Arabidopsis thaliana: one gene and its partner. The protein of the gene in region 1 purifies or fractionates together with the protein of each later gene. This does not show direct contact. Each region holds a gene or a part of one and is shown in the gene's direction. Other genes may lie near its edges.

The links.
Region 2: the proteins of HEME2 (region 1) and GLYR2 fractionate together in Arabidopsis thaliana (co-fractionation; one large-scale study listed by BioGRID). This does not show direct contact.

What each region holds. Positions count from the first base shown.
Region 1 is NC_003071.7:16,910,779-16,916,315, forward strand, and holds HEME2 (Uroporphyrinogen decarboxylase), read left to right. Parts: upstream 1-2,026; 5' UTR 2,027-2,182; coding exon 2,183-2,300; intron 2,301-2,754; coding exon 2,755-2,879; intron 2,880-2,980; coding exon 2,981-3,091; intron 3,092-3,186; coding exon 3,187-3,375; intron 3,376-3,482; coding exon 3,483-3,608; intron 3,609-3,694; coding exon 3,695-4,210; 3' UTR 4,211-4,424; downstream 4,425-5,537. Other genes in the region: AT2G40480 (WEB family protein (DUF827)), read left to right, coding at 380-1,666. UniProt on the Arabidopsis thaliana protein: Catalyzes the decarboxylation of four acetate groups of uroporphyrinogen-III to yield coproporphyrinogen-III.
Region 2 is NC_003070.9:6,068,712-6,074,584, reverse strand, and holds GLYR2 (glyoxylate reductase 2), read left to right. Parts: upstream 1-2,455; 5' UTR 2,456-2,620; coding exon 2,621-2,804; intron 2,805-2,899; exon of another isoform or gene 2,900-2,996; coding exon of another isoform or gene 2,997-3,003; coding exon 3,004-3,085; intron 3,086-3,202; coding exon 3,203-3,268; intron 3,269-3,381; coding exon 3,382-3,457; intron 3,458-3,544; coding exon 3,545-3,600; intron 3,601-3,787; coding exon 3,788-3,872; intron 3,873-3,965; coding exon 3,966-4,026; intron 4,027-4,188; coding exon 4,189-4,241; intron 4,242-4,329; coding exon 4,330-4,400; intron 4,401-4,482; coding exon 4,483-4,555; intron 4,556-4,631; coding exon 4,632-4,736; intron 4,737-4,826; coding exon 4,827-4,991; 3' UTR 4,992-5,161; downstream 5,162-5,873. Other genes in the region: AT1G17665 (CA-responsive protein), read left to right, coding at 101-712, 1,063-1,115, 1,317-1,404, 1,484-1,582, 1,823-1,950, 2,117-2,153; AT1G17640 (RNA-binding (RRM/RBD/RNP motifs) family protein), read left to right, coding at 5,487-5,683, 5,815-5,855. UniProt on the Arabidopsis thaliana protein: Catalyzes the NADPH-dependent reduction of glyoxylate to glycolate as well as succinic semialdehyde (SSA) to gamma-hydroxybutyrate in vitro.

The sequences.
Region 1 (5,537 bases):
TTTGATGCTTTGATGGTGACCATTTTCCATTGTTCTTTACAGTCGAATCTCATGACTTCTGTGGAAGTATGTAAAATTGAGTTCATGACCTTTGTGCAATTCAGTAGCATTACAATATTGAGATTGAATATAACTCGAGTCTAGAATTTCATAATCGAGGTTTTAGCAACATATATGTAAGTTGTTGAAAGCATCAAGATCGTTTAAGCTGTTGTTCTGTCTCTGAGATCATCATCACCATTAAGTGTTGATCGTCGAGTGTAAAATGCACACACTGATTTTGTAACAATGAATCTCGGAGTATCTGTGTCACTGTGTGAGGTTGGATTAGGAGTTGAGATATGATTTTCATTTTCTTTTGGTTTTTGTCAACGTTCAGAATGGTGAATTTGACATTAAGAGAATGGAGGAGCATGCAGCGGAGCTTGAGAAGGATCTGATTGTGAAAGAGCTTGAAACTTTGGATGTTTTAGAAGCTCTTGGATCAACCAAAAGGATCGTTGAAGATTTGAAGCGGCAGCTTCAGCAAGAAGCACTGAGATGCTCTGACCAACTCAGTTCAGATATCAAAGAGATGAACGATGAGCATTGCCATCACAATCCCATGTCATCTCCTGATTTGATCTTGATGGAATTGAAGCAAGCTAAGATGAATCTTGGTAAAACCATGGACAACCTTGTAGTGATCCAGTCCTCTGTTGAATCTCTGAATAAGAAAATGAAAGAAGAGAAAGACTTCCTTGAGAAGACACGGGCTAAGCTAACGTATGGGTTTGGTGGACCGGTATCTCTAGCTGAGGAGTTGAGTCGGATTAAGGTAAAACCACAGGTTCAAGATGAACCGTTAAGGGAGCAGGTTAAGATGGTTGCTGAAGCCGATGAAACGGGTTTAAACCTGCAGAACAAGAACAGTCTGAGAACTGCAGAGATGAGATTGGTTGCTGCTAGGAAAATGGAAGAAGCTGCGAAAGCAGCGGAAGCACTTGCGATTGCTGAAATTACAATGTTATCATCCAATGGTGAAAGCCAGGACGATGATTCGGAATTTTGCTTTCCAGAGCCTCCAAGATCTCCTGTGACACCAAGAGGACTCAGGATTGATAATGACTTCTCCACGGATAAGAGTTCAAGACGAGGGATTTTGAAGAAGCTTGAGGAAGCTACTGAAGGAGTTAAACAAAGTAAGCAGGCTTTAGAAGCTGCGTTAAACCGAGTAGAGATCGCTAATGTGAAGCAACTTGCAGCTGAAAATGCTTTCCGCGGGTGGACAAAAGACTCATTGAAAGGCGATAACTTTACACCTTTGAATCATACCCGACGCTCCTTTTTCAGCCATTTGAACAAGCATCACGAGCCACTTGACATTCTCCCAAAGCCAGTGTTAAAGTCTAATATCTCAATGCGTGATGTTCTAAGGCGTAAGCAAGTTCCAAAGGAAGATGTTGTTGCTCCCCAAAGACAGAGCCTTGAAGGGCAAATACCGAGGCGAAATGTGAATTTGAGCCAAATGTTGAAGGAACTAAAGCAGGATGTGAAGTTTTCGGCACGGGGAGAGAAAGAGGAGGTACATGAAGAGAAACAGTACGTCACGCAGAGGAGAAAGTTTGGGTTCATACACATTACACTTCCACTGCAGAAGCAGAGCAAGAAAAAATCCAGCCTTTAAAAACAAACACCTCCCACTATTTCTATTTTTAGTCCTTATTAATGTGTTTGTAATTGGTTTTCATTTTGGTTTGATATGGTGTTGATTGCTTTTCCGGTCTTTTATATTTGTTGATTTTCCAAAAAATAAATATACAATCTTAGTCTTTAAATAAAACATAATGCTTTGAATCTAATGAGTAAACAACAAATTTGATAGTGATTGTAAAACAACAATGAAAACTGCAGAAATGTGATTACTGGATAAAAGCTGTATCTTAGCAATGAAACCGAACCAAATTGAACCAAGATGATTAGAATAAACCAAACAATGACGTGGCAGAGATAGTAGCTGACTAGGCAACGTTGAATCCACGTCAGCAGATCTCTTATCATCAAAGTTTTTTCTATCTTCTTCGTTCGAAGACGTTAACCCCATCTCGTTGAAAGAGAGAAGATGCTAAGATCTCAAAACAGAGTATAACAACACCTTGACCTCGTTGAAGAAGCCTTTGAGATTGTCTCGGGGATCTGAAAAATGTCAATCCTTCAAGTCTCTACTTCGTCTCTTTCTTCTTCTACTCTTCTCTCCATATCTCCCAGAAAATCTCTCTCATCTACCAAGTCATGCCGGATAGTTCGATGTTCCGTCGAGGGTACTTATTTCTAACTCTCAATTTTGATTCATTTTGATGAAGTTTTTGGTGAGTTAATATCTGGGTAGTTATAAAGTTGTGAATTTTCCACAAAGTTTCTCTCTTTTTGGCAAATAGGAAACGAATTGGGTGTTTCGTGTAGTACTTGAATTGATTGTTTTGGTTAATCTGTTATGGATTTAATAGATGGGTACAATGGTAATATGAAGAAACTTTCAGTTTCTCTTGTACCAATAATCTCTCTGGTAGAAATTTAGGATTTTTCGAGTTTGTTCTGCAGAAGCTATATGATCTTCTCGTGCTTCTTCGAAGTAACGTATATTGCTTAATTCTAGAATTGGAACGTTTCTATGGGGTTTCATTTGTTTTCCCTGAATTGAGTTTGATCATGGAATGTGCAAAAGCTTACGAGTCTTAATCTTTATGCTTAATGGGATTCAAATTCTTTGTTTAGGAACTACTGTAACCGAGAGAAAAGTCTCGGCAACCAGCGAGCCACTTCTTCTGAGAGCTGTTAAAGGTGAAGTTGTTGATAGACCTCCGGTTTGGCTTATGAGGCAAGCTGGGAGGTACATGAAGGCAAGCTTGCTTCCATTTATTTTGTTTACTAACTCACATTTTGCTTGTTCCTATTTCTTTCGAATTCGTGTGACCTGAGTGTTTATTAATGTGATGAACAGAGTTATCAAACTCTCTGTGAGAAGTATCCTTCTTTCAGAGATAGATCAGAGAATGCAGATCTTGTGGTGGAAATTTCTTTGCAGCCATGGAAGGTGTTTAAGCCAGATGGGGTGAGTTCTTTCTTCTCTATGTCCATTTAGTTTTGGAGTTTTTCTTTTTATGATCTCTTAAGTTGACATGTCTGTGTTTCAAAATGTATGAAAAGGTGATTCTGTTCTCAGACATTCTCACTCCATTGTCTGGAATGAACATACCTTTCGACATTGTTAAAGGAAAAGGTCCTATCATCTTTAACCCGCCTCAATCAGCTGCCGACGTTGCTCAAGTTAGAGAATTCGTACCAGAGGAATCTGTTCCTTATGTTGGAGAAGCACTCAGAAGATTAAGAAATGAGGTACTAAAGATAGTGTGATGATCGAAGCAACAAATGCTCTTAATCTCTTTATCCAAAAAACAAAAAATAACAAATGCTCTTAAGCTGAAGAATATGTTTTATTTCAGGTGAACAATGAAGCCGCTGTTCTGGGATTTGTTGGAGCTCCATTTACACTTTCTTCGTATGTAATCGAAGGTGGCTCATCTAAGAACTTCACACAGATAAAAAGATTAGCTTTTTCTCAACCCAAGGTGGATTAGTAAAAGCTTAAAGCAATTGTACAACTTGACAATTTGGTTAATATCTCAGAGATTGAACAGATTTTCTTTCTTCTCAGGTTCTACATGCCTTACTCCAGAAGTTCACAACCTCGATGATAACGTACATACGCTATCAAGCAGATAGCGGAGCTCAAGCTGTGCAAATATTCGACTCTTGGGCAACCGAGCTTAGCCCGGTGGATTTTGAGGAGTTTAGCTTACCTTATCTCAAACAGATTGTGGAAGCTGTGAAACAAACTCACCCAAACCTACCTCTCATACTTTATGCTAGTGGATCAGGAGGTTTGCTAGAGAGACTGGCTCGGACCGGTGTGGATGTTGTGAGCTTGGACTGGACTGTGGACATGGCTGAAGGAAGAGACCGGCTAGGAAGAGACATAGCAGTTCAAGGAAACGTTGATCCGGGAGTTCTATTTGGATCGAAAGAATTTATCACAAGCCGGATTCATGATACTGTGAAGAAAGCTGGGAGAGATAAACACATTCTCAACTTGGGGCATGGTATTAAAGTTGGAACCCCTGAAGAGAATGTAGCACACTTCTTTGAGGTTGCTCAAGAAATTAGATATTAAGAGAAAGAATGAATGTGATGATTATTATGCTTTGTTGTTAATTTCGGCCTTCCATCTTTTTTTCTTTTTCCATTTGAGATGTGTAATTTTATTTTTATATTTTAACTGTAATTTTTTTTTGTAGACTACTTGGAAGAAAGTAATGATTAACGTGCAATGGATATTCATATATGTAGGCTCTTGATCTCTACTTATTTCAATTTCTTAGACATTATTTAGAAATTTGGTGATCAGAATTGTAACGCATTGGAACAAACAATTGACTCTAAAAGCAAAGGAGGTGCTACAAAAAGCCTAAGATTCCATCAGCGGCCAACAATACGACCAAATAATCCACAAACCATCACACATACTAAGCATTTGCTATTTGTGTATTATGTTAGAGAGTGCCGTGTGATTGTTCGTTGCATATTTGTATTATGTTAGACTGCCTTGTGATTGTCCGTTACATTAAGATTTTGTAATAAAGAAAATTTTTGCACCTAAATGTTACTTTATTACACCAAAAGATTTTTGCATGAACATGCAGCAGATAACATTCTTACATTTTGTAACAAGAAAATACAGTAAAGGATATTTGTGCATATAACGGGGCAGTGTCAAGAACTGATTTGAAGACTAAATTCTATTTGAAATATTGTTATTTGAGAGCATTTTAAGTAATGGAGGTGCTATCAGATGAGCGACAGAAAAAAGGAAATAAGAACTTGTATTTGCTTAGTTGACCTATATTTCTTTTGTTTAGATGTAAATTTATATTTCACATGACTTTACACTTTTACAGAGAAGGAATACAACAAAAACTGACTTTAGACTTCAGATAGCATGCATGCTTGCGCAAGAACTAAAAAACTAAGCAAGACTGCTCTTATAGGTAAGGTACTTAACAAAAGCATGTATTCTGTTTGGAGACTACTTGGAAGAGAATATTCTCATATAGCTCTAGTTTTCCTCAATATCGTCTCAAATTTTTAGAGCTCCTTTACAAAATTGGTGATCAAATGGAAAAACCATAAGAGGATATATTCAACTATTTATTATTTTGTCTGTAGTATTTATCTAAATAATTTATATCAATATTAAGCATTGGATAATCTTAAACATTTATTTAGATATAGTTTGAACTTGTAAACTTACACGATTTTTAAAGTTCGTAATTGAAAAAGGAGTATACGTCCAATTGAAAAAACGAACCGACCTTCTGAAAAAAAAAAAATATATATATATATATATATATATATATATATATATATATCGTGTGATGCAACTACCACATAAAATTACTCAGATTACAAAAGAAAAAAAGAAGACAAAAAACCTAAAGAAG
Region 2 (5,873 bases), on another chromosome or scaffold:
CGTAAGATATTTAAGAAAAGCATTTTTCGTCGTCGCTTTCTCTTTATCTTTTTTTTTTTGGTTCTTTCTCTCCCTTCTCTGTGATGTACGAAGCACGTTAATGGCGGCTCCGCATTTCACACAACTCAAAATTACACTAAACCCTCTCATGTATCCCTTTCTCGTCTTATCTCTACTAACTCTCGCCCTCTTCTCATTCGTCTCCGCCATCTTCTTTCTCCTCAAAGCTTCCCGCAGCAGAGCTGCTTTGTACAGCCAGAAACTCTTATCCGAATCCGAAACCAAACTCCAACCAGAATCGTCTCTATCGGAGATTTCCGACGAAGCCCAGTACCAAACCCATGAAAATGAACCGACCCATTTGACGAATTCGCGACTCTATGAGTTACTGCTCTCCGATAAGAAGGAGGATGATTCGGATTGGGAAGGAGATCATGTGAAAAAGAAGAAGAAGAAGAAGAAGAATCGAGGTAAGAAGAAGAAATCAGACATAAGAGGAGATGAATCCGGCGGCGAAAAGCAGCTCGGTGAGGGAGAAGATGGGCTTGTTTTGAATCCGAGGACAGACTCGATTTCGATATCGGAAAACAAACCGGAGTTTGTTTGTTTATATCCTTTTACATCGACGAGCAGTGCTACGCAGAGGAAGATTAAGCAGCAATACGATCAGCTTGTTAAATGCAATAATGCCAAAGGATTGACACTAGCTCAGGTCACCTTCTTTACCTTCGGTTATTAACTATTTATGGAAATCAAAATTGGAAAACGTGAATTTGAAACATAAATCCAAGTCTATTAAGCCTGTGATTTCCTTAATTAGCATCCTAAAACCTCTATGTGGTTTATATACCTTTGTGGTGTTTGTTCAATAGCCTATACTAAACTCAGTTGATAAACTAAATGATTTTTGAGTTGGGAGGTTTCAATACTTAATCATCAGCTAAGCTTGCTTCCTTTTGATATATCAGAATGATTTACTTCAATCTAAACTTTGGATTACTATAAAATTCTGCCCAGTTGAGTTTTAGATTCTGATGTTTTCTGGGTTCTTCACTTCTGTAGGTTGGGGAGTTTGCTAATTGTTTGATAGAAGCCAAAAATGAACTACAACACAAGTAAGTTAACACTACCATAACATAATATCATATACTCTCATCCATTTTCTTAGTTCTTCCTACATTTTGAGGACACAGGAATTACAAATAGTTGCTTCCTGTTCTATGCTTTGTTATGTTGATGGTGTGACATGTTGCTTTACTGAGTTAGCCTTTTCTTCTCCGGTGACACTGATTTAAGCCTGATTGTGTCTACTGTAGGTCAGAAGTAATCAAGCGCAAGTTTTCAATAACAAAAGCCCTTCTCTTTAAGGCTGATAGATCTTCCTTTGACCGACTTCGTCAACAGGTGAATTTAGCTTCATCAATTGATTGTCTGATTTTTATCCGTTTGTTGCTTTTGAAGTTAATTGTTTGTGTGTCATCAGATCTATAAGCTGGAGATGGAACAAAAAAGAGTAGAAGAAGATGCACTTGTATATAATTGGCTCCAGCAACAGCTTAAACTCTCACCTGCATACAAAAAGGTTAAAAACCAAACTCAATCACTTGTTTCCAAAGATTGTGTCCTATGTGTCCAAAACCTCAAAAATCTGTTCAATGATGTTTCTGATTCTAGATTAATCTTACTGATTGTTGTTGCTGTCTGATAAACCAGTAGAGTCTTATCTCCTGTATTGGACTCTGTTAGCATAATTGGGACTTCCCTTGAGATTTTTGGTTATCTCTAGTTAAAGCCGTTAATACTCTTTATGATACTACTATAGGTTCTTGAAATAAGCGCTTCCATGGAACTCAAAGACAAATCGAGCACAGAGTTAGACAATCCAGATGATGAATTTTCAGACATTTCCTTCGAAGAGCTATTGGAACAGGAAAAGAAAGACTCGTTTTGGTCAGCATTTCTCTCCATCTCTCCTCAAGCTTATTAGTAAATCTAAATTACTTGCTCATATGAATCTTGCTCCATGTATAGGCCTTTTTGAGTATTTCCGCAATCTTTCTTCATATTGCTTATCCTCTATAACCATCTTACTCTCCACTCTTGTGTTGGTTTTCAGGCATAAAAATGGAAGATTGCGAACTTGCAGAACATGATTTGGTGATTGAAACTGCCGTGAGCTCAGCAGGAAAACTGAATCCTTTTTTGATGTTCTCCTATTTTTGGTGCTGTGTATAGAGAGTTTCCTCCATAGGGATGCGTTTTCTATATAACACATTACCCGGTTTTCAAATCGATTTTTTCAGTTCGGTTTGAATCAAACTGATTCGGTTTATCTGAATTGAGCAAAGTCCAAACGTGCATGAGTATCGTACATAGTGAGGCTTTTTTCGAGAAAAAACACTGTTGATAAAAATATACAAACACAAGCATCATGACTCATGGGGGATAAATGCACTTGAACCGACCGGTACAATTATATCTGCTTGTGAATTAGCTTTAAACCGAAGCATATGCAACGCGGCCAGTGGATTTTGTTCCTCAGTAAAAATCTGTCAGTTTCCGCCTCGAAATGTGAGAATTTCGGCCACAGTCTACTAAACAAACGCACTGGCCAGTGGCTATGCCTTTGGTTTCATTATCTTTTGCTTCATCTTCTTCAAAAGCCATGGCTTTGTGCTCTATCTGTCCTCGCATCCCTCTTCGATTCAGGCCAAAACCCATTTCCCCTTTTCTCTCAAAACCTCAAATTTGTCTCGCTTACAGGGTTTACTCTTCCCTGCAATCTACTACTCCCTCTACCAGAGGTAATTTCTTGCTTTGTATTATGCATACACTGGTTTTCCAGAACTATGAATTACGTTTAAATGGATTAAATTATGAAGTGTCGCTCTCTTTTTAGGACAAAACCCACAAGTTTCGAGAAAGATGATCGAATACTATAATCTCCTTATCTTTATCCTTTTTGGGGTAGTCTTATCTGAGGAATTGTGGTTCGTATGGCAGATGAACTTGGAACTGTTAGCATTGGGTTTCTGGGTATGGGAATCATGGGTTCTCCAATGGCACAGAACCTCATCAAAGCTGGGTAAAAAAGTTTTGATTTTTATGTGTAGACAATCTAATTCACATCAATTTTGCTACTTTACCTCTTTTTGATGTATTGATGATACTTACGTTGATCTTTCTGGGGCTTGGTTGTTAGGTGTGATGTGACTGTATGGAATCGAACTAAGAGCAAATGTGATCCTCTCGTTGGATTAGGAGCAAAGTAAGAGTTCCAATGCTTCTTATAAAGAATGATATTATTTACTCCGAGTGAGGTTTTAGAGCTAACGTAGAAGAAAAATTTAACGATTAAGAAAGTATCTCCCTTTGTTGCAGGTACAAGTCTTCTCCTGAAGAAGTGACTGCAACTTGTGATCTCACATTTGCAATGCTTGCTGATCCTGAAAGTGCAGTGCGTATGTCTCACTTTTGTTTGCGTCTCTTTTTCTTCTACTTTCACTCCATATTAAAACAAAAACTGTATTTTGCTTTCTGTCAGATTGATGTTGCATGTGGAAAGAATGGAGCCATATTTGGGATTAGTTCAGGAAAAGGGTACTTACTCCTTCATGAGACTTATGCTGGATATAACGTTCTATTGCTGAAATGTTTCAAGATATCTGTATTTCTTATGTAACTACAGAAGAGTTCACAGTCGTTCTTTTTTAATTTCTTCTTCGAATCTATATAGTAATGTGGTCGATACTTTCTGGTAAAAATGGGACTTGCCTTGCTACTGCAGGTATGTTGATGTCTCAACCGTTGATGTGGCCTCATCAATACTAATCAGCAAGCAAATAAAGGATACCGGAGCCTTGTTCTTGGAGGTAAAGGCTCTTAGTTAATCTATATCTAGAATCACTAAAAAACCTTGTAACAGATCTGGTGGCTTAAGTCATTTCTATTTTTGATATTCATAGGCACCAGTTTCAGGTTCCAAAAAGCCTGCCGAAGATGGGCAGTTAATATTTCTCACTGCAGGTTCGTAACAGCTTACTCCTCATTGAGCTTGTATTAATAATCGATCATCACTTTTGCATATCAGATTATTTTGTCTTCGCGGGTGACTTGCCTGTATTTTCTAACATGGTTGAATCATGAATGAAATGGAGATTTATGACTATCTGGCACTTGACATTTTAGGTGACAAGCCGCTATACGAAAAAGCTGCTCCTTTCTTAGACATCATGGGAAAGGTATCTCTTTTGCCTGTGTTTTGCTTTTAGTTCTTTTTTCTTCTGCAAATGAACCATTTTCGTTACTAGTTTGCATTATATGATCCAGTCAAAATTCTATTTGGGTGAAGTTGGTAATGGAGCAGCAATGAAACTTGTCGTCAACATGATCATGGGAAGGTATCATTTGACCATCTATCGCTTCATTTCTTGGCAAATTCCAGATTCTTCTTCTGATCTCTTTTTCTCTTTACCTATGCAGTATGATGGCATCATTCGCGGAGGGAATACTTCTAAGCCAGAAAGTTGGACTCGATCCAAATGTACTTGTCGAGGTAACTAAAACACCATTGTCCAGCAGAAAGTTTCTTACCAAATGTGCTATAAACCCCGGGAAATTTTTTTCTGCAGGTTGTCTCACAGGGAGCTATCAATGCGCCAATGTACTCACTAAAGGGTCCTTCAATGATCAAGTCAGTGTACCCGACGGCTTTTCCATTAAAGCATCAGCAGAAGGTTTGTGTAATTGTGTTACTTTCTTTTTTTAGATTCTCACAAAGACTCTGGAGTTTGATGAGACTGTAATTGACTTTTATCCGTCTATAGGATATGAGACTCGCACTTGGACTAGCGGAATCCGTATCGCAATCTACTCCGATTGCAGCCGCTGCGAACGAGCTTTACAAGGTTGCAAAATCTTATGGGTTGAGCGATGAAGATTTCTCTGCAGTAATTGAAGCACTAAAAGCTGCAAAATCCCGAGAAGCTTAGCTAAAGATTTGTTCAATGTGAAAATGTGTTTTTTTTTGCTGTTGTATGAAAAATTTCATCTTTACAACATGTCAATTGATAATTGTTAATTTTATATGAGAGCAAGTTAAAAGTGTCAAACACAAGTCAACCTTTGATCTCCTGATGTTGACAAAAGCAACAAAGAAAAGTGTTTGACCAACGTTGACTACAATAAATACGGCGCCGTTTCGGATATTCCGATGATAAGTTGATAACACCGAATCATTTGTTTCAAAAAATTCTTCAGTGCCTGAAGTGTTAAAATTCTCGCCTGAGCTCGTTGCCGTTTCCACTTCAACCATATTGGTTAGGGTTCTTTCTCTTCCAAGATAAGAAATTTTGAATGTTTGATGTCATAACTTTGAATCAAGTAATCGAAATTGGAGAAAAAAAATTCATTTTTTAAGTTTGGGTTTTCATCATAGACAGACGGAGAAATTAAAAGGTTTTGTTTTGACTCAGCTGCAGTGATCGATGGATTATAACTCAGATCGTGGTTATGATGACTCTTACCATCATCACGTACACGACGAACAATTACCACAATCGGATTTTGAAGTGGAGACCTTTGATGACCGGAGGAACGGTGGTGCAGCCGTTGATACTGGTGGGATTCAGATGAAGCATTCCGTTGACCATCGCCATTCTTCTTCGTCCATGTCTTCTCCTGGGTTCGTGGTTTCTTAGGCTTTATCTTTTTGTATGGATTTACTTTTGATATTAATCTCTTCTCAGCGGAGCTGGTTATTAAGATATTGATGGGGAGGTTTCTTGTGGTGCCTTTTGTCTTTGTTTATGTTAGGAAACTGTTCGTAGGTGGAGTTTCTTGGGAAACAACTGCAGGTATGGTTCATTTTCATC